2 linked regions of the Elephas maximus indicus genome follow. The protein of the gene in region 1 interacts with the protein of each later gene in a pairwise test. Links are inferred from orthologs where the notes say so. Each region holds a gene or a part of one and is shown in the gene's direction. Other genes may lie near its edges.

Region 1 (15,369 bases):
GACCTGAAAGGAAGCCTTATTCTTGCAGTAACAGAGCTGATATTCCCAAAAGTCAAACCCAGAGTCCTATCATAAGTGTGGCTGAATTATAATGCCAACTGAATTCCCAAACTCAAATGTGTCTGAAATTAAAGTGAGGGCATTGATTAGGAAGAAATGGGATCCTGAAACTTGGGATGGGGACATATGGGCAGATAATCAAGAAGCTGGGGACATTGAGTACCTAAATTCCATTGAATCACTCCTGCCAACAGAACCAGTCCTTTTATTCCCATCTGAAGAGATCGCTCCATCTTTGTATGCTAAGCCACCCTCTACAGTAAAACCATTAGATTTGACAGTGGGAACTTCCTTAAGTGAATTAAGACACCTGACTACAATGGCACTGATTGGATCCTGGGGTGGTAGGAGCCAAGTGGCAGCACTCAATTGACAAAGACAAGGTGGGCATGGTTACCATAATGGACGGCAGTACTCAAGAATACTCTGACTCGCATGGACTTACAGCTTTGGCTACTTAGTCATGGTGTCGCTAAGAGTTATATAGATGGGGAATCTACTATTTACTTGATCTGTGTAAGCAGAAGAATCCTAGGTCATGTGAATGGCAGTCAAACTTGAATTGCCAGAATAGAGAGTCATAGTCCCGCAATCAATTTCCAGACATGAGTGAGTTTAAAGACCCACAACCCCTTGAATGAAGGCGAGGAGGGTTTCATTGAGGAAGGACCCTACTACATGTCAAAAATTTGTACTGTTAATATTTCTCTCAGCTTTCCCCAAAGGGATTCATGACCTTTCATGAGAGTGACTATTTACCTGGAAAAAGGAAATAATTGGACTTTTCAGAGATTACTGGGTACTGGCTCTGAACTGACACTAATTCCATAAAACATCATTATGGCCCACCAGTCAGAGTAGGGACATATGGAGGACAGGTTATTAATGGAGTCTTAACTCAGGTCCATTTCAGAGTGGGTCTAGTGGGTCCCCAAACCCATCCTGTAGTGATTTCACCAGTTCCAGAATGCATAACTGGAATGGACATACTCAGCAACTAGCAGAACCCACACGTTGAATTCCTGACATGTGGAGTAAGGGTGGGAAAAACTAAGTGGAAGTCATTAGAACTGCCCCCTATACAGGAAAATAGTAAACTAAAAGGAATACTGTATTCCTGGAGGGATTTCAGAAATTACAGCCATCATCAAGGACTTGAAGGATGCAGGGGTGGTGATTCCCACCACATCCCCATTCAACTCTCTTATTTGACCTGTGCAAGAAACAGATCAATCTTGGAGAATGACAGTGGATTATCATAAACTTAACCGCTTGGTGATTCCAATTGCAGCTGCTATTCCAGGTATGGTTTCATTGCTTGAGCAAATTAATACATTTCCTGGTACTTAGTATGCAGTTATTGATCTGGCTAATGTATTTTTCTCCATACCTGTTTTGAAGGACTACCAGAAGCAGTTTGCCTTCAGCTGGCAAGGCCAGCAATACACCTTCACTGTCCTACCTCAGTGGTATATCAACTCTCCAGTCCTATGTCATAGTTTAACCCACTGGGAACTTGATCATCTTGGCCTTCAACAAGATGTCACACTGGTCCATTACATTGAAAGGTTATGCTGATTGGACCTAGTAAGGAGGCAGTATCAATGACTCTAGACATATTGGTAAGACATTTGCATGCTAGAAGGTGGGAAATTAACCTGACAAAAATTCAGGCACCTTCCAACTTAGTGAAATTTCTAGAGGTCCAGGGGTGTGGGGTATGTTGAGATATTTCTTCAAAGTGAACAACAAGTTGTTGCATCTGGCCCCTTCTACAACTAAAAAAGGAGGCACAATGCCTGGTGGGCCTCTTGGATTTTGGAGGCAACACATCCCTCATTTGGGTGTGTTATTCTGTTCCGTTTATCACAAAAAGCTGCTACCTTTGAGTAGGGTACCGAACAAGACTCTGCAACAGGTTCAGGTTTCTGGGCAAGCCACTTTGCCACTTGGCCCATATGATCTAGCTGATCCAATTGTGCTTGAAGTGTCAGTGGCTGATAGATATGCAATTCCGAGTCTTTGGCAGGCCCCTACTGGTGAATCACAGCGCACAACCGTAGCATTTTGGAGCGAAGCCCTGCCACCCTCTGCAGATAGCTACTTTCCTTTTGAGAAACAGCTATTGGCTTATTACTGGGCCTTAGTAGAGACTCAATGCCTAACTATGGACCACCAAGTCACCATGTGGCCTGAGCTGCCCCTCATGAACTGGGTGTTGTCTGACCCACAGAGTCACAAGGTCAGACATGCACGACAGCACTCCATCATTAGATGGAAGTGGTATATACAAGATAGGGCTTGAGCAGAACCTGAATGAATACTCAAGTAAATTGCATGAGGAAGTGGCCCAAATGCCCACGGTCTCCACTTTCTTCACATTACCTTCCTTCTCCCAGTCTGCACCTATGGTCTCCTGGGGAGTTCCTTATGATCAGTGGACTGAGGAAGAGAAAGTTTGTGCCTGGTTTATAGATACTTCTGCACGATATGCAGGCACCACTGGAAAATGGACAGCAGCAGCACTGCAGCCCCTTTCTGGGAGTTCCTTGAAGGACAGTGGTGAAGGAAAATTCTCCCAACGGGCAGAAGAACATCAGGCATTGCACCCGATTGTTCGCTTTGCTTGGAAGGAGAAATGGTCGAGTGTGCGATTCTATGAGCCGTGCCCAATGGTTTGGCTAGATGGTCAGAGACTTGGAAGGAACACGATTGGAAAATTGGTGACAAGGAGGTATAGGGAAGAGGCATGTGGATAGATTTCTCTGAATGGGCCAAAGAAGTGAAGATATTTGGGTCACATGTGAATGCTCACCAAAGGATGACCTCAGCAGAGGAGAATTTTAACAATCAAGTGAATAGGATGACCTGTTCTATGGAAACCAGTCATCTTCTTTCCCCAGCCACTCCTGTCATGGCTCATAAACAAAGTGACCATGGTGGCAGGGATGGAGGTTATGCATGGGCTCAGCAACATGAACTTCCACTCACCAAGGCTAACTTGGCTACAGCCACTGCTTAGTTCTTGCCCATTCTGCCAGCAGCAGAGACCAACGCTGAGTCCCTGATATGGCACCATTCCTCGGGGCAATCGGCCAGCAACCTGGTGCCAGGTTGATTACATTGGATCACTTCCATCATGGAAAGGGCAGCATTTTGTTCTTACTGGTATAGACACTCTGGATACAGATTTGCCTTCCCTGTATCCCATGCTTCTGCCAAAACTACCATCCGTGGACTTACAGAATGCTTTATCCACCGTCATGGTATCCCACACAGCATTGCCTCAGACCAAGGGACTCATTTCACAGAAAATGAAGTATGGCAATGGGCCCATGGTCATGGAATTCACTGGTCTTACCATCTTTCCCATCAATCTGAAGCAGCTGGCTGGATAGAGTGATGGAATGGCCTTCTAAAGACACAATTACTGTGCCAACTAGGTGGCAATACCTTGCAGGGTTGGGGCAATGATCTCCAGGAGGGTGTATCTGCTCTAAACCAGCATCCACTATATGGTGCTATTTCTCCCATAGCCAGGATTCACGGGTCCAAGAATCAAGAGGTGGAAACGGAGTGGCACCGTTCACTATTATCCCTAGTGACTCACTTGCAATACTTTCGCTTCCTCTCCCTGCGACCCTATACTCTGCTGGTCTAGAATTCTTAATTTCAAAGGGAAGAATGCTTCCACCTGGAGACACAACACCGATTCCATTGAACTGGAAGTTAAGAACGCCACTTGGCCACTTAGGGCTCCTTATGCCTCTGGATCGACAGGCAAAGAAGGGAGCTACCATGTTGGCTGGTGTGGCTGATTCTGATTATCAAGGGGAAATTGGATTGATACTACATAATGGAGGTAAAAAGAGTATGTCTGGCACACAGGAAATTCCTTAGGGGGTCTCTTAGTAATACCATACCCTGTGATTAAAGTTAATGGAAAACTATAGTAACCCAATTACAACATGACTACTAATGGCCCAGACCCTTCAGGAACGTTATCAAAACAATAAACAGGAGACCTTTATAGACAAAAATGTATACATTTATTTTACACAGACCTTCATTTAAAATTACTATGTAGTATATGATACAGTACCTAAGTTCCAAGTTTCTGGAATTAAAAAAAAAAAAATTAAACAGCCAATATAAATCAGAAAATATTTAGAATTAGATGTACCCTAATACAATAACTAGAGCCCTGGTGGAGCAGGGGTTAAGAGCTATGGCTGCTAACCAAAAGGTCGGCAGTTCGAATCTACCAGCTGCTCTTTGGAAACCCTATGGGGCAGTTCTACTCTGTCCTACAGGGTCGCTAGGAGTTGGACTTGACAGCAGTCGGTTTGGTTTTTGGAATGTAATTACTAATCTAAGTAAATTAGTAATTTCTTAAGCAATATTATCAATTATAGAACAGAGTTTTAAAATTTATTTTTATTTCAGTAAAAACAAGAATTTAAAGGTGCTTGATTTAAAAGTGTTCACACATGGAATACATCCCTTATGTGACACTAAGAAACTTTTCAGTGTAAATTACAGTACCATATTTGGAGATACATCCATGAATTCTAATTTTTTAAAAATCCTTAAAATGATTTGCAGCTTTAGAAAATCTGATATGTAGAGTGAAAACATCGCTGCAAGCAATTATTCTTGAATGCTATGTATTCATTCATAGAAGATTCCTAAAGAAGAGAGTAGGAATTTGGTTCGCAGTTTGTAAACCTTGCACAAATTTTGTTAAGATAACCTGTTACCCACAGAGGAAGCCACCCATAAACAAAAACGATCTTGTTGTGTACTAATTTTATACAATCCATTGTAAAACCTCCTTGAGTCTGAAGCTTTAACCAACTGGAATTTAACGTGAACCATAACTAGAGAGAATGAACAATGATAAACTAACATAAAAGATAAGCAATATCAGAAAAAGCAGATGATACAAAGACAATCAACACTAGGTATTAACATGTATAGTCAAATCAAATTTGATTGTTTTTTACATTGCCCAAGTGTAGTGAATACATCAATTTTTATTTACCTAAAATATAACCATTTTTATTTACCTAACCTGTTACTTGATATTATAATATAGAATCAATTTTATGAAGGCAAAAATCTGATTTTCTGTGAAATTAGCAGCATAGTTTAACTCAAAGGTCAAAAGATATTTAGGAGATTTCCAATTCAAATAGAATTTTGCAGGATTTAAATTGTTTCACAAAGCACTGAAATTCTAGTTGCCTAAATCAAGAAATTTCCAATCCAGCTATGATTTTTGACAAATTCAGTAATTGAAAATGCAACACTCTGTAGAAAAGACTCTTTTCTGTTAATTTTAAATATATTTACAGCTTAGGACTTTTTAAAAAACAAATTATTTACTCAAATAAGTTCTTGCCATCATGTGCTGCTTTGTATGATTATTTATTGACAATTATTTCTGGGTTATATAAACATCTGAGTTATCAGCAAGTAAATCTTGTTTTAAAAAGTGTTGAAAAGTGTGGGCAATTATCAAAATGGATTCTATTTGTGTCTCTGGTTTAAATTCTAATTAGTGATTAAGAGTGATTGAATATTTTATATAAATACAAAATCAAATTTGCTTTCTTAAATGTAGAAGGTGTATGTGATTACAAACATCTTTATGAATACAAATTTTGTTTAGAAATTGGATTTTATTTTGGAGGATATGTTCCTGAACACAAAATGTATTTTAAGAAGTATCTTAGGCTTAAAGAAACACAACCATTGATTTTCATTATTTAAAAAAATTATAATGTATTGCAAAATATTTGCTAGTGGAAACACAACAACTTTCATTTACCTAACCTATTACTTCATTTTTTTATTACTTCATATTGTAGTATAGCATCAATTTTATGAAGGCAAAAATTTGATCTTCTGTGAAATTAGAAATTAGCAGCATAGTTTAATTCAAAAGCCAAAAGATATTTAGAGGTAGCATTTCTAATTCAAACAGAGTTTTGCAGGATTTAATTTTTTTTCACAAAACACTGAAATAGCTTTTTTTTTTTAAGCTTTGCTTTAAGATGTTTAAAAAAGTTTCAAGTATTGTACAGATACGGAATTTTGGAGAGCACTGAATTCTTTCCCAAAAGACAGCTATTTTAAGTTGTAAATTTTAAGCTAGTGTAAGTTTTCTTTTATTCCCCTGTAGAAGTCTTGCAGACCTTCCAACCCCAATCTCATTTTCACCTGAAATAATTGTATTCAGGTTTTCTCAGCAGGTAAAGTACACATTCTTCGTTTCTCACAAGGTTTCAAATTTCAGAATTCCAATAATGCATTTAAACTGAGAACCCACCGAATCACGTTCTCTCCTCTTTGTGTGTGTGTGGGGGGGGGGGGGGTGCCCATTATCTTGCAATTCTGTTATTTGCACTAAATTTTAGTATTTTTAGCTCCCGAGAAATATCTTATTGAACCCTCAGCAGTTGCTAACCACTTAATAATTGTGAACTAGCCAGCCCTTTCAAGTAGATCGTTAACCACAAGAGTGCCTGACAATTTCCAAACCATATCCTCTGTCCAAAAGGAAAAGATAAGGCTTTGTGAGGCCGAAAGGAAGCGAAGGAAAACAAAACAAATGTGGCTCAGGCTGAAAGTGAAAAGTGCTTGGACAGATTAGTATTTTCTTTTCTGCAAGGCGTCCTGCCAAAATTTTTTTTTTTAATAGAGAAGAGTTATTTTTTGGTCTGATTTTTTAGTTTCTTGGAAAGTGTTGATATTTACCACTCCCTCCAGTCCCTCATAATTACTGTTGTTTGTTTTGTGTTTTTCCCATCCGTCCACATCACTGACTGAAGATACCCCCGCCTCACCCTGTCAAAACCCTAACTCTGCACCGCCCTGGGTTTGCAATCTCCGGCGACTCCCGACGACACTCTTTCCTTCTCACGCCTCGCATTTAGGTCGCGAGATCCCCCACTACAGTTTCAGTGAAAGCCAGAAATTTTCATTTAAACTCCCCCTTATTGACCCCCACTCCGAGCTGAGGGCTGGGGAGCGGGGAGGCTCCTAGTACGGCCGGTTCTCCGCCGCCTCCCCTCCCTCCGGAAGGCTTTAATTTGCACACTTGCTTGCCACTGTGCCGCGAGACCCCGGCCCCGCCGCCGGGTGGGTCCTCGGCAGGGGTGGCCTACCGGGTCTCCGTCCCCGCCCCCGCCCCGCGGCCGCCCCCGCTGCCTCCCGGGTTCGGGCCGCGATCCCCGGCCAGAGCCCCACGGCCCCCGTCCACCCCCGGCGAGCGAAGCAGGCGGCGCCCTCCGCCGTCCCTCCGCCCTCCGCCGCTGTGCCCACCCCCTAGCCGGAGAAAGTACTGGTAACTCCTTCCTCTGCGCCGCATTACCTGCTCTGCACGGCCCTGGGTAAGTGCCGAGGTCTGACAGGCACTCGAAGCCCCTTCGGGTGGCCGGACGCGGCTAGGTCCCTCAGGTGAGGAGCTGTGCGCTCGGGTGGGTGGGTTTCTTGGTGGGGAGTCCCGAGGAGATTTGGAGGCTTGTACAGGGTCGAAGGCGGGGTGGGGGTAGGGGTAAGAGTGGGGGGGCTGTGTGTCCGCCGACTTGGCTTTGGTTAACTCCTTCCGAACCAAGGCGGGGTAGGTTACGGGGGCCAGTTTTGGGCAGCTACAGGAGTCCCTCCCAATCTGGCGTGACGTGAACATCCCACCCGAGGGACACCCCCTAACAGCGAGATCCCGTCTCCACTTATCCGTCTGCACAAACACCCACATGTACACACACTCCTTATCCAGCTTCTCAAAACGGAACTGCACTCGGACACTCGTATAATCCATATTTAGTGTTTCAAATGCACTGCCTCTGGGGACTCCATGCGGGAGAATGTGTTTCCCTGCCCCATTTTATTTCTCCACGAAAGTGCCTCCAGCTCGCTGAGGTGTGGGTGTGGGCTCCACCTTCCCCACCACGAGATCTATGTTAACGAAGGCTTCCTGCTGACAACCCCTGCGGACGTGTTATGCACAACTAGAGTGCACGCAGTCGGCCAGTGCCCAGGCTTGGAGCCCTTGCGAGGTCACCGTTTTGCTTTAGTGTCCACGTTTACTTTTATCATTTAAAAAAACCGCAGCTAAAACGCACGCCCCGCAGTTAGAAGCTCCTAGGTCCCGCAGCGCGCCCGTCTGTGTGCACGTGGGCGCATCTGCGTGTGCGCACAAGCCGCATTCGCGGTCCCCGGTGCGGCCTCTTGTCGCTGCGCTGGTGGCGACCCTTGCAGTGCTTGGCAGGCTTCGGGAGAGGCACATGAAGGATTTCATTGAGTGTGAAGACAGAGAGCAGAGACAGAAAGCAGAAGGAGGCGGCTGCAGCCTTTGTAGTCGCAGAGGAATGCGGAAATGTTGAAGCACTATGTCAAACTTTTTTGAAATGGGGTCAAGTCACATTCAGCCAGCGTGGGAAAGCAACAACAGCAAAAAAAAAAAAAAAAAAGTGGAGGGGGGGAAGGCACTGCTGCTCCTGTTTCTCTCCGCCGGAGCCAGCCGTCCGGGGAGCGAGGGGGGGAGAGCCAAGGCGAGGGCTGCGGGCGGTGCGGGGCCAGGCGGGGCGGCGGGCGCAGTTCCCTGCGGGGGTGGGACGTCCCTCGACGCTTCCTTCGCCGCTGAGCCCCACGCTGGACTCGGGGGAGGAGGGACGCGGGAGGGCGGACTGGGAGGCCAGCGGCGGCTCCCCCGCTACCTGTGTGGCCCTCGCCTTCGCCCAGACCCCCAGCCAGGCTCTGGGGGCTTGTTCCTCGGCTCCCCAGGAATCGTCTTCACCTTTTAAGAAGAGCTCTGGATGGCCGGAGTGTGAGGGGCTCTGTCCTCGTCGCGGTCCCATCCATCCGCACATCGTGGGGTTGCGCCGTTTGTTTAGTTCCTGGCGGAAGGCGAGCGGGCCAGCGGTTGCGGGAAGGTAATTCCGAGGTGTCCTGGGAATTCCAGACACGCGGCTGGCGTAGCGAATGTCCGACTGAGGCTGCGGCGGCGGTGGGGCGGGAGGTCCCCTCGGCCCTGAAATGCAGCTGAATGGGGAGGGAAATTGGGGGATCCCCCCGCCCGGCGCTTTGTTGTGCCGAGGGCTCCGGGGGACGTCTGGCCGCAGACAGGACCGGGCCTCAACCCGAAGGGGACTGGCGCAGCTGCCTCCATTGCCTACATCGGGGACAGTCCTTGGAGTGGGAAAAAGTCTGCGTGTCTCGATCCCTAGGGCGCATCCCTTTCTCTCTCACCCCGGGAGGCGCAACATATATATACTCTTCTTCTTCCCTTTTGGGAGGTTGGATTTTGCTCAGGTTGAAATCAGATGAGAACTTCAGGGTGAGTCACAGTCATGCTACATTTTTCCTGAAGTTATTTTTTAAGGAGGCGAAAGTGTCTCACACCCTTGGGGTCCCGTGGGTGACTGCCTTCACTAGGGCCCCTCGTTCGCCCACCCCTTGAATAGCGGAAGCCCAAGTCGTCCTGGACCAGATGGATTGTCCTCCCTGGGTCTACACCAGGGAGGTCCTCTGAGGCGAAGGAAGAATTTCGTTTTCCAACCGAGACTCCTTTACCCCAAAAGACTATTTGTGTGTGCGAGTCGTTTTTAAATGTCTCCTCGTAGAAAAACTGAAAGCAGAAAGAAAGGAAGCAATTTCCGAGCAGATGTCTGACCACCCCTTCTCGCACACTCCTAGCATCGGGTTACAGGGTCTTGGGAGCCCCCTCCAACATTCTGCGGCCCCACACGGGTGGACCCCCAGTCTCGCCACACTGGCTTGTGCACGACCCCTGAACGCCCCCCGGGACCCCTGCACCCCCATACCCCCTTGTCCCTGCACGTCCAGGCCCCGGCGGAGTGGGGATGGTAGTAGTGCAACAGAATGATAAAGGGATAAGTATTAAGCCGTGACATTGGCGTGCCCGGCGCCTCCCCTCCCCCGCGCTCCCGGCACACTCTGGGCTGCTCGGCACGCCCCCTCCCGTTCCACTGCGCCCCGCGCGGCGCGCTCATCCCCGAGGGGCCCCTGCAACCTCTCCGCGCGAAGACCGCTCCAGCTCTACAGGGAAAGAAAAGTAACTTCGCTTTTCTCGGAGGAACCAGGAAGGATTGAGAGGCCTGGGAGAGGGCAGGAGAGCGCGGCGGGTAGCGATGGGGGCTTCTTGAAGAAGGAGGGGAGACTGCCGGAACCCCGAGGAAGACGACTGGGATGTCTGATTGTATTTTCTTCTTGTCCTACCGCCTCCTCTTTTAGGTGAAGCGATTTTGCCCAGTGAAGCGCTCGGGCAGAGACTATGTAATCGCCTCGGTGTCTGAGCAGAGGACTCCGCTTCGGAGAGGGAAGAGGAGGGATCGGCTCGCTCCTCCGGCGGCGGCGACTCAGCAGGCGGGGTTTCGCAGCGGCGGTACCAGGGCTGCGCCCGCCCGAGGGGAGGTCGCTCCATCCAGCCCCGGCGGCCGCGAGAGCCAGAGCCCCGGAGCCGGCGGGGGCGAGGGAGAGCGAGACCAAGCGCCGGAGCTCGGGAGGAGGCGAGCGGCGGCCGCAAGCGAGCCGAGCGCGCTCTCTGCCCGCTCCAGCGGCGCTGCGCCGGGCGGTGTTAGGACGGTATGGAGAAGGACGGCCTGAGTCGCGCGGACCAGCAATACGAGTGCGTGGCGGAGATCGGGGAGGGCGCCTATGGGAAGGTGTTCAAGGCCCGGGACTTGAAGAACGGAGGCCGTTTCGTGGCGCTGAAGCGTGTGCGGGTGCAGACTGGCGAAGAGGGCATGCCGCTCTCCACCATCCGCGAGGTGGCGGTGCTGAGGCACCTGGAGACCTTCGAGCACCCCAACGTGGTCAGGTGAGCGAGGGAGCGGTGCCCGAGCTGTCCGGGCCGCGCGCCCTGGCAGGGTCGGGGGTCCTCAGGTCCAGAGGGTGAGGGCGGGGGTAGTCGCTAGGCAGGCCCGGAGCGACCCGTGGATCTTACAGAGTGCGAGTAAGTTTTGTCAACAGAGCCCTGAGCCAGCGTCGGTGACCTTGCCAGACAGCGAGCAGAAACACCAGTCAGAAAACGTGACCTGCGCAGGCTTCCCTACTGGTGTGCAAGTTATTTGTTTTCTCCCTGTCTGCCCTGAAGGGGGGAGTCCGGGGAAATTGAGTGGCCCTTAGGGCCAGAACAGACCAAGCTGAAACACACACGCCCTCCCGCCCCCCTCATTGTTCCCGCCCCCCCGTCACTGGGGAATTTTTGAGAGACTGAGAGGTAGCAGTATGCGGTGTGGTAATTAGTGGGAAGACAACTTCACTAGTCTGGTATAAATAAGGTATAAAAAATGTAGAAACTCTGAGGAATTTTTTGCTAATTACACCCCAGAGTTAAAGCAAAATTGCTGTGGAGTCAATTTTGACTCTTGGCGACCCCATGTGTTGTACTTTGTTTATTAAAAGATGCGTGCGATAAGAGTGATTCGTGATAGTACAAGGAGCATCAGTGCTAATGCCCAGCTGCTAACACTGTCCTTTAAAACTTTTCTTCCGAAAATGTTACCTACTTGTCATTACCCAGTGCTATTACTTTATATCTCTGGGTTGCCATAGCCCTTAGATTTCTTCAGAGCGTTAGACTTGAGTCCAAGATGTGGTATCCTTAGATTCTGCCTTTTGCCGTTGCTTTTCCTGGACTGGTTCTGCGATTGGTTGGGAGAAAGCAGTCTTTAAAGCTTCTCCTCTTTGGTAACCGATATTAAAGGAAAGTGTGTGTGATTTAGGATAATGGTGTTTTCTTAGTGATACTGGAATTTCCCCATTGCGTGGTTGACGTTGTGTCGTGTGTCATCCCTTTTTTTTCCCCTTGTTTTATACAAAGACATACAGTTTTATGTAGCAGAGGAATACACAAAAACTTCTATAAATTGGGTTGTAATTTTACCTTTCTCAACTGTTAAGCTACTATGTTGGAAAAAGAAGGTCTTGTGGGGTTGGGGGGAGGTCTTCTCCCTGTTTTCTCATCCATCTGGGGATTTTGTTCAACAGATATGTGCCTACTGTGTGCACTGTGGATGAAATTATGTAAATAAGCACAGCTAAATATTTTTATAAAGAGTCAAACAGTTTAACATTAGTCATCAAAGTGGAGAGACTCAAGACTGACCTTTGAAATACGAAGTCCTCTGCAGACTCAGGGAGCACAAGTGTGTACAGAGTCTTCCTGGGAGGTTTTAACTTGTCTCCTCCTATCCAAACGGCGTGATTTGTGTGGTGCTTTGTTCCCAGGACAGTTAGACACAGCCTAGAAGGCACCCAAGGAGTCATAAATACATAGATAAGGTAGTATGTGGTTATAAAGATACACTCCAGTGTACTTCCACTTTAGCTAGTGAAGGAAGGAGAGACAAGAGATAATAGGATTGGGAGAATGGGTATTTTAGGAAGATGAGATTATATATAAAGCAAAAGATTACTTTGGCGGGGGCATGTGTTTTCTTTGCTGCAAAACAGCAAAAACCCTACTTGGAGGTCTTTGTGAGATTGGAGAGAAAAGGGAAGGGCACATTTAGCCCCTCCTCCCACAACCTAGTTATCTTCCCAAAGTAATTACCTAAGCCCTTCCCAATGGATGAATTCCACCACTAGAATTTTAAGAAAAATGTTCTTATTTTGTAATCTATGGAGTATTCAATTAAAAGTGATATAATGCTATAGTTTACAAAGCACAGGTATTTTTGTAACAGAAGAAGGGTGAGTTGTTTTTGCCATTGTACTGGTAGATTTTGGATGATCTCTTTTACAGATTTATCCACTTGAGATTGGTGTGTTTTTGAGATTTGTCCTAGTTGACTCCTGACTTGTATTTAGCACCGTGAAATTTCAGGAAGATATGCTTGTGAATTGAAGACAAAGGCATCATTTTCTAGAGTTATTTTTGTATGTTACGTGGTGACGAAGACACTTACCTCAGAGTTGTCTGAAGATAAAGTGAGACAGTGTATATGAAAGCACTTCGTAAATTAAAAGTACAAGCAGTCTTAAACTTCAGTGCAAGAAAAGGCTTGAAGCCTTTTCAGTGATTTAAAAGCTGACGTGCAGCAAGTAAAGGTGATTGTGATGAAGAATTTGTTGTAAGAAGAGGGGTTGGTTCAGTCATTTCAAAGTGAGGGCAAATTTACATAACGTTAAAGAGCAAGTATGAGCTGTCTGTTGTCCATGAGTTGGGTAAATTGGATGTAACCTGTAACCTGGGGACGGCCTTACTTCAAACTTTATATTCAGGCAGATTAGTGAGACCCTTGCCCTGGAGCAATTTTCCAGTAAGGCTTCAGTTCACCTGAATTTTTCACAGAACAACTCACAGACAAACCCAGACATTGAAGCCTCCAGAACCAAGAGGCTCTGTGAGTGTAATTAGCTTTAGTTAGAAAAGACTATTAGTTCTATGTCATGCAGTTCAGTGACACTCGAGGATATTATCAATGATGATGTCACTTTCATGAGCTCACAGATGTCCATTCCCTTTTTGTTTCCTTCCTGTTCTCTTTTACCTCTGTCTTGGAGCAGCCGTTGGCCTCGGTGACTTGCTTGGCCAGACTAGGAATTCTGGGTTTTAGACGTTGCTGATATTTGTTGTAGCAGGGTCAGGAAATTAAAGACAGGTGACAGCAATTCTTTCCAAGAGTTGTCAAAATTGGGCCCCCAAACCTGTGATTTATTGTTGCCCCACAGGATCAGTTTTAGAGTCCTGTTCTTTGAAAAAGGTTCTCAAAAGGGCAGATGCCTTTATAAATACTTTTAGGTTATAAGTAAATGATCATAATTATAGGCTCTCCCCACAGATAGTTAAGCCCCTAAGTATGAAGGGAGCATAATAAACATACTAGTTTTTTTTTTTTTCAAAAGTTTAAGATTTAATTTTGATGGATTTGCCAGAAAAGCTTACTTGTTATTGCTGGCACTGGCATTGCCTACAGGCGCAGGGATGATGGCTTGAAGTTCTTGCTTACCTGCTCTTGATGTATCCCAGGCCTGGGCTTGATCAGTATCTGGGATGTAAATTCACTGTTATTTTACAGTTGGTAATCCCAAAGCCTGGAGCCTTTGCCAGAATCAGACCTCAGTAGGAACCTATATGGGGGGCTCTTCAGTCCTCAAATGAATCCTGTTTTATTTACATCCTAAACTAAAAACAAAATAGATTAAATAACATGTGTTATCAGTAGCCTGTTTATTAAACAAGTATTTATTGTGGGCCTACTTTGCCAGACACTGCTAAAAGCTGAGGGTTCAGCAGTGAACAAGTCGGAAAAAGTCTCTTCCCTTTGTGGATGGAACTCAGCTTGTAATAGCAGTTTTTTTTGTTGTTGTTGTTTGCTTTGTTTTGTTTTCTGTTTAAAAATATATGTCCTATTAATTTGATTGGCTTTTTTTTTTTTTTTGCTCTAAATCTTAACCAGTTTTATAGAGCAACTAGTATTTGTGATAATTTGCTGATTTAGTAGGCAAGATAACCAAAACACTAATCACATTCAAATGCTTTTCGGAGATTAAATTTCACCTCGTTAGTTGCTGTCCTTAAATCCGTTGCCATCGAGTCGATTCCAACTCATAGGCATAGAGCATAACAGCCCCATGTGGTTTCCAAGGAGCGCCTGGTGGATTCAAACTGCTGACCTTTTGGTTAGCCGCCGTAGCTCTTAAGCATACGCCCCCAGGGTTTCCTTGCTGTCCTTAGGAACATACAAATAGCTCTGTATAAGAAGGCGTTGACATATAACTAATATATCTGAACATTTAAGCTCCATTTATTCAACAAGTATTTAGGAAGGACCTATTCTTTAAATAAGGAGCCCTGGTGGCGCAACAGTTAAGTGCACGGCTGCTAACAGAAAAGTTGGCAGTTCTAACTCGCCCACTGGTTCTGAGGGAGAAAGACCTGGCGTTGTGCTCCCACAAAAATTGCAGCCCAGAAATCCATATGGGGCAGTTCTCTGTCAGATAGGGTCACTATGAGTCAAAATCAACTCAATGGCATCTAAGGACAACAACTCTCTAAAAACAACAGGCCTAGGTGCTGGGAAAGATACTGGGATAAATCACACCTAGCTCTACTCTTAAAGTAGTTCCTCCTGTGTTTGAAGGAATAAGATGGTAGATGATGGAAAGTATCATGTGTCATAAGACAGACAGATAAATGCTACCTGTATTGTACCAGGGATTAAATTTATTATTGTAACAGTAAATGTAATTCAAATTTGAGTACAATTCTGGAAACTAGAACTCATGTGTTTCACTGGATAATCTTAAATGTCTAAATATGTTCAAGTTTTATTA
Region 2 (15,028 bases), on another chromosome or scaffold:
TGTTGCTGCAATGTTGCAACTCAAGGCTTGAATTTTTATTTCGGTTCTTTCAGATTGAGAAATGCCAAGTCTGAAAACATAATAATCAACACAGCAGCAATATATTCCCCAGCACACAGATTGTGATCTCGAAATACCATTTCCCACCAAAAATGAACCATCACTCCTATGGGATATTAGTAATACCACGTGTTGTGGTGGTTAAGTGCTCAGCTGCCGACCAAAAGGTCAGCAGTTCAAAACCACCAGTTGCTCCAAAGGAGAAAGATGTGGCAGTCTGCTTCCGTAAAGATTTACAGCCTTGGAAACATTATGGGACAGTTCTATTCTGCCCTATAGGGTTGCTTTGAGTTGGAATTGACTTGAGTGCACACAACAATAACATTGTACAGGAAATATAGAAGATAAAACTAGAATATATTATCATCCCAGAAAGCAAAGATTCTGTCAACGACCACTGCAATCATGTCAAAAAGACTCAGGGACCAAATTGAAGAGGCTACCACTGGTCAAAGATAGGGCATGAGCATCAATAGAGAATAATAACTATAGCAGAGTTAAACACTCCAAGAATGTTTAAATTTATAAGTTCATAATAATAATTTAAAATCCTCAGTCATTTTTGAAGGATGCTATGGATGCAACTCATTACTTTGAAAACTGGTAAATAAATACAAAATATTTATCCTGTCTTTTGTTTATGAACCTGAGGGCAACCAAGTAGTTAATGAAGAAAACATTCCTTCATAGAAATAAATACTTCAGCTGATAAATGAAAAAAAATGATAGAATTAATATACTATCATTCAGCAACCTTTAAGGAAATAACGGATCTAAGAAATAATTATCAATGGCTGCTAAAATCACAAAAAGAAAGATAACCAAGTTATGTGCATCTTGATGAAGTACACAATACCATATATGAAGTATTTCTGCAAAAATATCCAACCTGAGTCACATCCAGGCTCTATATATAAATCATGAATTACAAGAAATACAGACAACAGAGAAATACATTAAATATCCTCATGAACAAGCATTCAGCAAAATCGAGACTTCAGAAAACACAGGGCAACCTATGCTGTTTCGTCAACAAATAAATGTCAAGGAAAAAAAAAAGAAAGAGGAACGTATAGATTAAAATAGGCATAAGAGACGTATCAACCAATTTCAATGTATTGACTTTATTTCATTCTTATTTTCAGAAATGAAAAAGTGATATGTGTAAAAACTGGAGACACTAAAATGATGAATTATGCCCAAAATTCAATTAAACTTAAGAAACACCTATGGGAAGATGGAAAGGGTAATAACTGTGGATCTTGGACCAATAACCCTAAACTGATGAAGTGAAGAGAATCAAATTTCCTGGTGGGAAGATGAGCCATATGCAGTTTGAAGAAGTCCCAAAATAATTCTGATTTTCCTTCTCTCCCCATTTAGAAACACTGTCTTAGACCCAATCATATACAGAAAGGCAAATAAATGAGGACATGGTTATGTCACTACCTCTCTTGGCCACTCGGCTCATTTTATTCATGCTTTTATTGTGAGTTCATATACAGTTTCACCAACTAGGAAAGAAACATCATTTTCACTGGTGATCTGCATTATATACAAGATTAGAGTAGATTCTTTTCATTCCCTTCCATTTACCTGCAAATTTCTATGCCAATTTATCTTTTCACTCACTTTTCCTCTTTTCTTGCTTATAAATTATCCACCCTATTAAAAAGCATGACCGTCACAATTTCAAGTTTCAGCTACCCACTATGTTCTCATCCACATGATCTCTTAAACATGTTTAAAGCATTAACAACAGGTTGTGTTTCATCCTAGACAGCTGGGTATCATGGAGAGGTAAAAGGTTTCATTATCTCATTCTATCGTCCAAGACAAATGTGCTATTGTGTTGTGTGTCAAATGACATCTTTGAAGTCTATTAAAGGTGTGCTGTGAATTAAGCCATCTGGAAAACACAGTATAGACTGAAAAATAATTAATTATAAGCCAGTTTATTTTTTTTCCCCCAGTTAAGCCTACTAGGACAGCTACTAAAAACCCTAAAGGGTAGAGGCTCTGAAGCCACAGGTTAGACCCTATCTCCAACGAAGATTAGCCAGTGCACTAGGTTACTTAACTTCTCTAATCTTTTTGCTCTCTCTGTAAAATTGAGATGCTAAAACATACCTCTTAAGGATTTTACAAAAGTTAAATGAAATAACAATTATAGAGTACTTGGAACAGAGTTGCTATGAGTTGGAACCAACTCAATGGCAACGCCATTGTTTTTTGCTCTGTTGTTTATGGTTTTGGAATGGAGTAAACAACTGACAAGTAGATAAGTGTGATTTCCCATTTTTTTCTTTTAAATATACCCATACCCATTGCTGTTGAGTCAATTCCGACTCACAGCGACCCTGTAGGACAGGGTAGAACAGCCCCATTGGGTTTCCAAGAGTGGCTGGTGGATTCCATCTGCTGATCTTTTGGTTACCAGCTGAACGCTTAACCACTGCGTCACCAGGGCTCCCTTTTAAATATAGAGAATATTTAATATTCTTTCCAGTGGCACAATGGTTAAGATCTATGGCTGCTAACCAAAAGGTCGGCAGTTGGAATCCACCAGCCACTCCTTGGAAACCTCATGGGGCAGTTTTACTCTGTCCTTTAAGAAACTTTCCCTGCACTTCCAACTTAGGCTAAGTTCCCCTCTTGCTTACTCTTAAAGTACCCTGTAGATACATCACTCAGCAAAGTTATATTAAATTAAAACCATTTATTAGATTTGAATGCCACTAGAGAGAGCTTCTTAAAAGCTAGGACCTGTAACATATTCAACTGTGCACTCCTAAAATATGGGATTGCTGAATTTAGGATAGCTGGAAGCCCTGGTGGCATAGTGGTTAAGTGCTATGGCTGCTAACCGAAAGGTCAGCAGTTCAAATCCACCAGGTGCTCATTGGAAACTCTATGGGGCAGTTCTACGCTGTCCTACAGGGTTGCTATGAGTCCTAATCTACTGGACGGCAACGCGTTATAGAGTAGCAATAAGTTGGAATCTAATTCACCGCAACTTTTTTTTTGTTGTTCTTTAAGTAACAGGGGTTTTTTTTCTTTTTTTTTTTTTAACGTAGAGAATATTAGATATTCTCATAATATTTGGAAACCAGGTCGAGCAAGTTGATTTTGCAAAAAAGTCCATTGAGCTTCCGCGTGGTTTCCTTTGAATTTCAAGGGAGATCAAGATGGAAGCTTCCTCTAAAAATTCCAGTCGGGAGCAAGTTAGGACCCCAGACACGCTTAAATAGGGAAGCGCTGTCCGTGGTGCTAGTAACCGCGCACGCCCATGCCCAAGGAATGGTCTTTCGACTGAAGTCGCTTTTCGAAGCGCACATCCCTGCCTCTTAGAAGATTCTCAGTTATTCTGCTTATTGGCTTCTTCCTGTCTTACTCACCACTTTTCACCTATGTCCTCTTCAGCAGCAACCACAAAAAAGGAAAAACTATCGCTTCAGTTTCCTAATCAAATAGTTTCTGTATTTCAGACACTATGGCCCATGCCTACCACTTAAGACAATCGCTCGTAAATTGGCTCAGGGTATCATTTTCTAATCTTTTCAAGCGTCAGGGAAATAGAAAGCTGAAAGCCAGGACACAGGAACTCGTTAATTTATGACCCATTCTTTAATACTCTTTTCAGTTGACTCCTCCTTTAAGAAACTTTCCCTACACTTCCAACTTAGGCTAAGTTCCCCTCTTGCTTACTCTTAAAGTACCCTGTAGATACATCTCTGAGAAAAGTTGTATTAAATTTAAACCATTTATGAGCTTTGAATGCCACCAGAGAGAGCTTCTTAAAAGCTAGGACCTGTAATATAGTCAACTGTGCACTCCTAAAATATGGGACATGCTGAATTTAGTTTTGCTGAACTAAATTCAATTCCTGAATTCAATAGAAAGATGGTCCCAACAACACTCCTTTAAAGACCTTCCTAGTTGTATTTGGCTGTGCACGAAATCTCATCGTCAATATGCTCTTTTGATTAAGATGCTCCAGACTGAGCCCATTTGCCACCATATCCACCAACATCAGTCTGGTGACTCATCCCCTCACAGCAACTGGCAATGAGTTAATGCCACCCATTTCAACGACTCTATATCTCCACTGCCCCTCATCTTTCCTCTTCCTTTTCCATTCTGCCTAGACACTTGAAATCTCCAAAACACCGAGTAAGAACTGAGTTCAAAGACTACCATGATTTTCATCCAGAAGCAGACTTCTATTCCTCTGGCCAGACAAAGGAATGGAGTGACCATTAGGAAATAAAAGGAATTTTTCCAGATAAAAATGGAAGGAAGTTTGTGGGAATGCAAAATGTTATAGCCACTTTCAAAGACAGTTTGGCAGTTTCTTACAAAGCTAAACATAGTCTTATCATATGATGAAGCAATTGCAAATTTAAACCCAAATGAGTTTAAAACTTACATCAACACAAAAACTTGCACAAGAATGTTATTGCATCTTTATAACTGCCAAAAATTGGAAGCAACCGAGATGCCCTTTAATGGTTGGCTAAAGAAACCATGGTACAACCACGCAATAGAATATTATTCAGTGATTTAAAAGAAATGAGCTATCAAGCCATGAAAAGGCATAGAGGAACCCCAAATGCATATTGCTAAGTGAAAGAAGTCAGTCTGAAAAGGCTACATACTGTATGATTCCAACTATATGAAATGTTGGAAAAGGCAAAACTATGAAGACAGTAAAAAGATCAGCAGTTGTCAGAGGCTTGGGAGGAGGGGAAGAGAGATGAATAGGTGGAGCACAGGGTATTTTTCAAGTGGTGGAACTATTTGACATGATACTGCAACAGTGGATACCTGATATTATGCATTTATCAATATAACGAGCAAACCCTAATGTAAACTAATAATAGTGTACCAATATTGGTTCATCAATTGTAACAAATGCACCACACCAAAGCGAGATGTTAACAGGGGAAACTGGGAATGGGGTGAGGGAGTGTATGAAAACTCTGTACCTTCTGTGTAATTTTTCTATAAACCTAAAACTTTTCTGAAGAAAAAAGTCTATTAAATGCTTTTAAAAAAAAAGAATGTCAAATAAGAGTGAAAGATTGAGGAATTCAGGAACTAAACACTAAGAAATGGGGGTGGGTGGAGAGAGAAAACTTGTTACAGTAGCTGCTTTCTTCCCTACCCTGTCTAGGTGGATTTCAGCCCTGTGGAGGCTCAGTCAGTGACTCTTCAGCCCCAGCCTCCACTTCCATGGACCCCACTGCCTTTAAAGAAAAGCACTCTTCCTCATTCTACAGAGGATAAGTGGGAGAGGGAGTCAGAGCTAAGATACACCAGAAGAAACACGTTAAGTCTCTCATACATGACTAAGCAATTGGCCTCCCTTTAAGACTTTGTCTTCCTCAGCACCCTGAGTCAAAATGATTTTAGAAATAAGTGTCGGGCTTTAAGAGAAGCCCACTCTTATGCAGTTCCTCACCAGTTTTCAGGCAGCAGATACATAACTTCTGCTTCTTTTCCTATTTCAATGTAGCACCAGCTGCAGTTTTTTAAAATCTTTAAAGCAATGAATATATTCACTGAAAGTCATCTAGGAAGATTAAGAAGAAAAAAACAAGCACTTGGTCTTTAAATCTTCAGAAGGGGATATAATGACAGGTTCAGCCTGTTTAATGACAGGCCCAGCGCCACACCTTTGTTTTTATTATGTTTCATTATTACTGCATAAATTTCCTTTATTACTCATAATAAATAAAAACCAAATACCAAGGTGGGTTAAACAGGTAAGAGTGCAAACAAGGGTGTACTTTACAAATATAATGAAAATATGATCTCTGATTCCTTATTTTTAACATTTTTCATATATCTTTCATGTGCCAGGTTGCTACCCTCAGTCTATTTGTTGTTGTTTTGTTTGGGGGTGGTGGAGGAAGGCCTGGCGATCTGCTTCTTGTAAACCATGGAGCAATTTCACTCTCTAATACATGAGGTAGCCATGAGCCTGAAACGACTCCACAGTAACGGGTTTGGGTTTTTGTTTTGTTTTAAATCCATGATTAAAACAAAAGAGAAAAGCACAGCAAAACAAGATTCTCGAGATTTTTCAGTATTTCTGGTTGACTGATTCTAATAGGACGGCACACCCAAAAGAAAACTGCTAAGATGCAAGATGTGAAAATTGTGAAGTCAAGTACCGCCCGGGGATGAATTTAACCTGCATGACAGGTGCAGAGCTGTCACTTTCAGACATCTTAAAAGAGACGGAGTTATTTTAAAGGCATTTCTCTCTGCCGCCCGATAACATAAATCTAATCAGGAAATGTCTCCAGAGTGAAACCAGCTGGTCCGGGGCTGAGAGGAATAGAAGTCCTCTGCTCCGCCTGCTGGGGATTTGGAGCTAAATGCAGTGGGTCAGCATTTCCAGAAACTTAGCGTCCCGGATCTGCTGGACACTCAGCCAGCAGCGCTTCCGGCGTTCCCGGGCGGCTTGCCCCGCCAGCCTCTGCGCATGCGTCTCAACGCCGACTGGGGCGGGCCGCCCACCCCCACCCCACCCCCACCCCCACTCCCATCCCGTGGGCTGTGACGTTAGGCTGGCCTCCGGGCGTCCACCGAGGGACGGGTCCTGCTGGCCAGCCCGACAGGGGGCGGGGCCTAAGGGGGTGGGGCGAGCCCGGCCCGCGGCCCAGCTGGGAACTGAATTGACTCCAGGGCGGCTTCCCACTCCGGAGAGCGAGGCCCGGCGGTGCGGAGGCTGCGGCACGCACGCACTGCGGCCGGAGCCGCTTTGCGTCCAGCGGCGGCCACTCAAGGCGCCGTTTCCCGGCAGCGGGCTGGGCGTGTTCGCTGCCTCTCGAGCGCTTGGAAAAGCCAAAAGCTAGCCCCCAGCCGTTCGGCCATTATACGCGCCCCCAAGCCGCACGAGGACAGCGGTAGGGGACTGACGCTAACTGAGCTCTCCCAGGGAAGGGAAAGGGCGCCGGGCGGGGTGAGGAGGGAGGTAGGGAGGAGGATCGCGAAGTTCACGGCCAGCGGTGGACTACCCCGGCCTCGCGCGTCTGGGGGTGTCGGAATGCGCGAGGAGGACAAGGGCATGCTCGGCAGTGGCAGTGGCGATGGGGGCCTGGCCAGCGCCGCGGCGCGGGGGCAAGTGGAGACGGTGCGGCAGCTCCTGGAAGCCGGCGCGGATCCCAACCGAGTCAATCGCTTCGGGAGGCGCCCGATCCAGGTACCTGGGGCCCCGGGTCCTGGCCGGCAGGGGGCGCGCGAGCGCGGCCTCCGTGGGTCGGGGGCTGAGACCGAGACCGAGACCGTAACCGACGTAGACGTGTGCAGGAGCCTTTTCCTGGAGGTGTGGGGCCCCGCCGGAAAGCAGGTTTTTACACAGCAAAAATCCTAAAGAAAGAAATTGAAAAACTTAGTGCTTCAGTTTGGTTTTCTTTTCAATGATGGAAAAAACATCCACAATATTTCCTGAGCCCTCTCGTGATCAGAGATGGAATACATTCAACTGGGAAGGAGAGGGGGAGAAGTGGGATATTTGGGGAGGAGGACTGTTTTATCTGTTGTCTACTCTCAACGATAAAGATAAATAAATTACAAATTCCACAATCTGGGTTGGATTTAAGGAATTCTTCTCCAAAGTGATAGCATTGGGGGGGGGAAATGCACTGTAAATTTTTAAGCCTCTATATGAAATCTTTCATTTTTCTCTTTCCTCATAGAGGCAAGTTGAACGCAAAGGAATGAGATAGGATTCCTCAACCACAGTACTTAATTTCTTATATTAGCAACGTCTTTTGAGTGTCACATAAGAGGGGAAAAAAATGTTCCCATAGATTTTTTGTTATCATACAGAATTCTTGGATTATAAAAGCATTTCTGCAGCAACTGTTGGGTCCTTTTTCAATGGCAAAGGGTCTTCATAAATAATTAGCCTCTTAATTATTAAAATACATTTATTCAATATGTTAAACCATTAATTTCGCTTTAATTAGCCCATCCATTGCCGTGGAGTCGGTTCTGACTCATAGCGACCCTATGGGACGCAGGAGAATTGCCCCATAGGGGTTCCAAGGTCGTGATCTTTACTGGAGCAGGCTGCCGCATCTTCGTCCAGAGGAGCGGCTGTGTGTTCGAACTGCTCTTTCAGGTAGCCACGGAGCGCTTAATGACTGCGCGGTCAGGGCTCTTTTAGCTTTAATTATTTTAAATTCCATTAAAATCTAAATTAATCCCTTTGCGCTTTACTGTTGACTGCTGTGGCTCAATATTCAGTACTCACCTCACCATTACCTTCCAGAACAAGCTATTAAGAAACCTGGTCAATAATGTACACATTTAAGAAAACAGGTGTTCATTCCTTTTGAATACATAGCAATTCTTAGAAAATTGGTATAACAAATGAGGGATACAGGGAACAAAAATATTGCAAAGTGCTCTTTAAAGACTTCATGTTTTGTTTTTCTCTAGTTTTAATTCACCATCTTCTGAGATTAAAAATCATTTTTCCTCTTTATATATAAAAACCCCTTTACATCACCTGATATTCATAAAACACAAAATTAGAGGTATACTGCCTTTCACTCAGAAACCCTGGCGGGTAGCGGTTAAGAGCTACCGCTGCTAACCAGAAGGTTGGTAGTTTGAATTCGCCAGGCTCTCCTTGGAAACCTTGGTTTGGTCTTTCAATCACGTGGTACATTTTAAAGCCTATAAACCCACAAGGAAAAAGAAAACTTCATTTTGGACATTTATCAAAAATCATTTTTATAGTTCACTTAAAAGTTCTTGAATGTGTGTGCACAAATGGATGCTACAGAATTACTCCTCCAAGCATTTTTTCTAAGTTACGCTTTGTTCTGATTTGACTGCTAATATTCAAGCTTTTTATACAAGAAAATATTTACTATTTAACATTATAAAATCCTAGCCAAATTGTACAGTATAGTGTTTGCTTTACATATTATATTAAATATGGTACACACTAAATATTAAAAATGTTGAACTCTATTAAAAATCATTTATTTTCATGGTCTTGTAAAACTATAAATGACTTAGTTTTTCCTCTCGAACTCCAGCTTTGGCCCCAATTATGGGACTATATAATCCGTTTATGAGCACAGACATACATGAAATAAGGCAGAAGCCTTCCACAGATTTGCAACGAGAACCAAACAATGTAAACCTCTGTAAACTTAGTTTACTTCTAGTATTACCCCAGCTTCTGAAAAATATCAGTTGACTGCCTAACAAATATTTTTAGCCCTGCATTATGGGAAAGGAGGAGAGCAAGGGAAATAACTAGACTTTAAAAGCCAGTTAAACAACTCCATCCCTAAATTGTATAACAAAATAGATTTCCTTGTTCCAGTGGAAATCAAGTTGTTCCCCCCCCCCACACACACACACAACAACGATAAACACTTTGTCATCGGCTCGCTCTTGTCTCCGCACGGTTGGATAACACGGAATTCAATTTGAGCGAAGAAATGAGTATGACTGGCGGGAGAGGGGGTAATTGCAATTTAAGAGTATCCAGACACCTGAAGCTCGTAAAAAAAAAAAAAAAAGCTCCTCTATATTGGGTGACTACTTCATAAATATGTATTTCTTTAAACTAGCCTCATCCACGCCGCCGGGGATCTCGCTCCCAAGCCTGCAAATCGGTGACCCTCCTGTCGCCCTGACCGCTCTGCTCTCCCCGCAGGTCATGATGATGGGCAGCGCCCGTGTGGCGGAGCTGCTGCTGCTCCACGGCGCTGAGCCCAACTGCGCAGACCCCGCCACCCTCACCCGACCGGTGCACGACGCCGCGCGGGAGGGCTTCCTGGACACGCTGATGGTGCTGCAACGTGCCGGGGCGCGGCTGGACGTGCGCGACGCCTGGGGCCGCCTGCCCGTGGACCTGGCTGAGGAGCGGGGTCACCGCGACGTCGCCCTGTACCTGCGTGCGGCCGCGGGGGACTGATGGCGGGCGCATCCAGCCGCCCACGACTTTTCTCCCCCATTTCCCACCCCACCTAGTTCAATGACCATTGCAAACGTGGAGCGGCGGAGATCCTGCACGCCTTCCTGAGCCGCCGACTCCGCTGAGGGAGGAGGAGCAAGCCCGGAATAAAATTCATTTGTGCTTTTTGCTGGATCCGGCCTTAGGCTCTCACCGTGAAGCCACATGCAGGAAGGTGGGGCCCATGGGTTGATTTCCAGAGAGATTTAGGGGTGGGATGTGGAGTGCGCCGGTGTCGTTCACTTTTTGGAGTTGCCTGGCGGAAACTGGCGTGCGAAGAAGTCTGCAAACCATCCTGGCGCCTGCGAACCTGCACACAGATGACGCTGGGGAGAAGTGGGAGGCGGATGACTGGCTTTTGGGTGTGGGGTGGTCGGTGTTTTGTCCCACAGACAGCGAAGAACCGCAGTCTGAACCCCGCTGCGCGCCAAAGGCCCTGGGGCTACGAAGGAAAATCTAAAGACTGAGGCCCAGACAACTATGAGAGTCGTGTGGGCAGCAGTGAGCAACCAACCCTTTACTCGCTGTGCGGTGTGCGGTAAGTCAAGGGTGAAACGATGCCTTCTGGAAGCTTGATGCCTTCTGGAAGCTCGGGAAACTGGCACCCAGCCCCACGAAATAGTGGAGGGGGAATAGAAGACGTGGAAGCGATGGCGGATTTGCCGGCAAACTCTAAAATCCCTGGGTCACCTTGATGCAGAGCCACGCTCCAAAAGGTGCTGGCTCTTGCTCGTATTCCGTCCTGGAGCGCTTCCCAGGGCATTCCAGAGGCGCCGGAGTCACAGTGCGCAGAACCAAGTGGGAGGTGCTAAGGAGAGTAACTGTAGCGGTTTGCTTCATCTACATACGGAAATCCCCCTGTAAATTGCCGCTTGGAAAGATTTCCTAATATTTTGTACTTCTGAGTTTTTCTTCAGTGACAGTTTTATTTAATGGGGAGACCTGAAATAACAAAGTAGCCCTTAGTAACGCGGTGAAAAAGAACTACAGCTCTTAAAAGAAGCAAAGGCAAGGCACAGTGGCAAACTTAGGGTCGAACGCCTCCATTACTTTCACTTTTAACCTATTTCTTCTGTTAAATTCTCTGACCGTTTCCTCTACCCAGGTGTCTCAAGGGCCAAACTATTAAATATTCCAAATGTCTTTCAGAAAATCAGGGCACTTATCCAGTAAAATATCTCGAGATATTTCCCAAAGGGTTGCTGAAAGAAATTGAGTATAAAACTGCTGAAATATATCGTGATGGCTTCTGGAATTTTTTCTTTATATCTGCTGAACAACTAAAGGTGCACTGCTTTGAGGTTTAATTTCCTGTATTGTTTGACTCATTATGTATTGGAACAACAGAGATTTCACGGCTTTAATGAAGACTAAACAACAGAAATTGAACTCCAAGATGCAGATTCAAATTTTGGGTTAAAATGTTCATGGATTTACCACTACTGAGAAATGTTGAAGACTCAAAGGGGTTCACTTCTCTCATTCTCTGTAATAATTGTTAAGTGATGCCAACAACAGTTTATAAGAACTGCTTCTATAAGCCATAGAGAGTTATTATATATTATGATAGGTACATACATTGTGCTTTTTTAAGTATCCAGTTTACCATATATAAATTGGAAAGAGAGGAAACAGACCAAAGAAATTATTTTAGAGTAGAGACTTATAAGACTTATTTGTGTATCTGAGCTAAATATACACATCTTTACTTCTCCATCAATTCTTTATCCCCAAAAGTAATATATTACTGGGGAAGCTTAGTTAGGAATCTGAGCATATCTAATTGGGAAAACAAATAAACATTGACAAACAACTTGTGCCACGGATACTTTATATGTGTTTACTTAACACTTAAAACAAATGTGAGAGATACGTATTGTTTCCCAGATGAGGATAATGAGGCCAAGAAGTCACAAGAGTCCACGGTTGCACAAAGTCAGTGTGTCTGGCTCCAGAGATATGTTATCCCCCTCCCCCCGTCAGCATTAACCTGTTGTCCAAAATTATTAATGATATATATGAAGTTGAAAAAAAATTTTTTTTCAACTAATTTATTTTTAAAGAGCAGAAACAAAAATGGTTCTCCCTTATAAATTCCTGAGGGTTTTCTTTTCTTTCTATAACATCTAGTACAGTATCATAAATATAAGCGTATTGTTTCAAATTTATTTTAAACTGTCAACAATATGAAAAACAGCCCCCAAAAGAAACACCTAAAAAAAATGCATTTGGAACAAAGATAATGAAACCCCCATTTCTAAATTAAGACACAAGGGCAGAAAATACAATTTCTGTTACCACTTAAGCATTGAATTATCGGCTACAAGAACAGCAATTTTTAGGTTTATATTGTTTTACAATTACTAAGAAACATTCTGCATAAAATTAGTCAGCTGACGATTTCAAGTCCATTTAATTTATAAAATCCCTGATGATTTTGTGCTCTACTTCTTTAGTTCCAGTTGTTCAATTATGCTATGTGCGTGAGACTGGGTAATGAAGAATGATAATCACTTGAGACATATGAAACATGTGATTTCATTCCTAATTTAAAGAAATTGTGGTATCTTTCCTAATGACAACAGGGAATTAAGGGGAATAAGGTATGGTTGTGGATCCCAAAGTACCATATTATAATTTTTATGATTTTTTTAATAAAGCAAAACCAAAACATTATTGGAAATCAGTTACCACCTGGTGGTCCTGAAACAGTGATTTATTAATGCCATGTAAAAGTTAATACAGTTTTCAAAGCCACCTGGAAGATGGGTTTGGCTGGTATGTTTTATCAACAGCACAAAGAGGTGTAAATTTAAGGATTTCATTTTAAAGGACACATGCAAAATATATATGCCTACTATATACATGAGCCCTGCTTTTGGTTCCATTGTGAAATTGCAGAAAATTGAATATGCATGTTAATTTTTATACCTAAGTTTGAAACATTACCAAGGTTTGTAAAAATTCTACCACCTGACCTTCATTCCAAGATCTGAAAGTAAATTCAGGAATTCAATATTCTGTTCACTCGGCCTCATTTTTACCTTTCCTTTTTTCAGCTGACTGGACAGATTAAAAAAAAAAAAACTATGATTTACTTTAAAAGCAAAATCCATTTAAAATGTCCTGTGCTGTAATGGCTAAAATTAGCAGTTTCAAAAATAATAATAATAATAAGGAATAAAACATTCAAAAGGAAAACTCAAGATTTACAAAACTCCAAACAGCTTTGGGAAAGTGTGTACATAGAAAGGATTTATTTGCATACTAAAGCAAACACAACATGGTGTCCTATGGTGTCCAGAAACAAATAATTCATCTTATGAAGCTAGGTAACTAACTTTCAGCAAACAAATACAACTAATTTCACTTGTACTTACGCTGAGATTCTATACTGCCTTTCCTTTGTGGCAAAATACCAGAAAACAATGTAAGTTAATATGTAATATTCAACAGAGATTTTTTCACCACCACCCGCTTTCTAGCTGCCCCTCAATTATTTTTTTAAAAAGCCACACTCATTTTCCTTTTATGGTTTACAGACACTGATTATTTTTATGATAAAATATAATTTTTACAGTATTTAAGACATTGCCACTCAACCAAAAGAAAAGCAAGTAGAATTAGTGAACTTCAAAAATAACAGAAATCATCTAGGAAGTACTCTTGTGGGCTGCCCTCTGAGACAAATGCAAAAACCAAGGCTGTCTAAAATACAGTGAGGTTGACTTTCATGTTTATGTCAGCAGCTAATCATAACCAAATTCTGAAATGCTTACTAGGTTTTCATTATTGAAGAAACTAACAACTTATTTGGTGAAAACTTAAAGAATAATTCTTAGGTTGGTGTATTTCACAGTGTTCAATTTCTAAGTTACAAATATAAATATGTTTCTCACATATATGAGAAAATTAGAAAAAATTTAAATACTTGAAGGAACAACCATTGAATCTCAGTATTTTCAATACAGTCTCCTGCTCTGTTTATAATCCTAGGGAAGAAAGACAAAATGGAGCAGAGACAGTAGAACCTGACTGGAAGATAGAAGATCTGGGTTCCCATATTCATTCTTCTGCTAATTCAATATATGACCACCTACTTCAATTAGCCTCAATTTTCCTCAAAGATGGGGGTTGAACTAGATTATTTCCAAATTCCCTTCCATCGCCAAAGTATTATATATACCTTTATGATTTTGTTCCATACGCATCTGCGAGGGGTCTTATATTTTTATTGGTAATAATTTTGCCCGTGGTATGAGTCAAGGAATGCTACATAAAGAAATGGAGAGGAGAGAAGAAATGTATTTTAGAAATCTGAAGCACTAGAGGGAAAAAATCTTTATAAGCACCACCTCCACCAGTTAAGTGAAGACTCAGAGACAAATTTGAGGGAATTAAAAATTAGGGCAGAAAATTTGCCTGTGTCAAAGAAACAATTTAATTTTTAGGGTCTTTCTCATTTTATCTTACCTTTGATTTTTTCTGACTTTTATGCATTTTTCTCATGTCACTCAGGAACCACTAGAATAATTTTAAGTGAGCTAAGCAAGTAAGTTCAGTAAATTTAGAAAATACTGCTAAAGTAGGTATTTTAAAACTAATATAAGTGCTCTGAAAGAAAAAAAAAAAAGACTGGTTATTACGTGAGCATGTAACAAGATTTTCTGACCTAACTGTCAGAGCTCATGCAGGAGTTAAAACCAAGAGAGAAAGTTGGGGACGTCAGAAGGAATAGAAAGTACAAAGGCAAGATACGCTGAAGTCTGCAGAAGTCATTACAAACTGAATAATTCTCTGTGAACAGATTTAATATGAAAAAAAATTTTTTTTTCTGTAGGATCTTGTACTTTCTAGTTGGTTTCCATTAGATTCCTTGTAACTTTAGGTCCTTAAATCTTGCCTGGGAAGTTGTAGGAACCAGTTAGTTAGGCGAGAGGTCTGTATCATCTAAATATGTGCTTGTCAGCCATT

The links.
Region 2: the proteins of CDK6 (region 1) and CDKN2B interact in binary tests that used the Homo sapiens proteins (3 or more experiments, as listed by UniProt). The link is inferred for Elephas maximus indicus from reciprocal best matches to the Homo sapiens genes CDK6 and CDKN2B.

Annotation. Positions count from the first base shown.
Region 1 is NC_064826.1:62,913,498-62,928,866, reverse strand, and holds the start of CDK6 (cyclin-dependent kinase 6), read left to right. Parts: upstream 1-7,410; 5' UTR 7,411-7,524; intron 7,525-8,786; exon of another isoform or gene 8,787-8,999; intron 9,000-9,293; exon of another isoform or gene 9,294-10,141; intron 10,142-10,320; 5' UTR 10,321-10,673; coding exon 10,674-10,906; intron 10,907-15,369. UniProt on the Homo sapiens protein: Serine/threonine-protein kinase involved in the control of the cell cycle and differentiation; promotes G1/S transition. Phosphorylates pRB/RB1 and NPM1.
Region 2 is NC_064827.1:31,876,466-31,891,493, reverse strand, and holds the start of CDKN2B (cyclin-dependent kinase 4 inhibitor B), read left to right. Parts: upstream 1-6,971; 5' UTR 6,972-7,117; coding exon 7,118-7,273; intron 7,274-9,754; coding exon 9,755-10,015; 3' UTR 10,016-15,028. UniProt on the Homo sapiens protein: Interacts strongly with CDK4 and CDK6. Potent inhibitor. Potential effector of TGF-beta induced cell cycle arrest.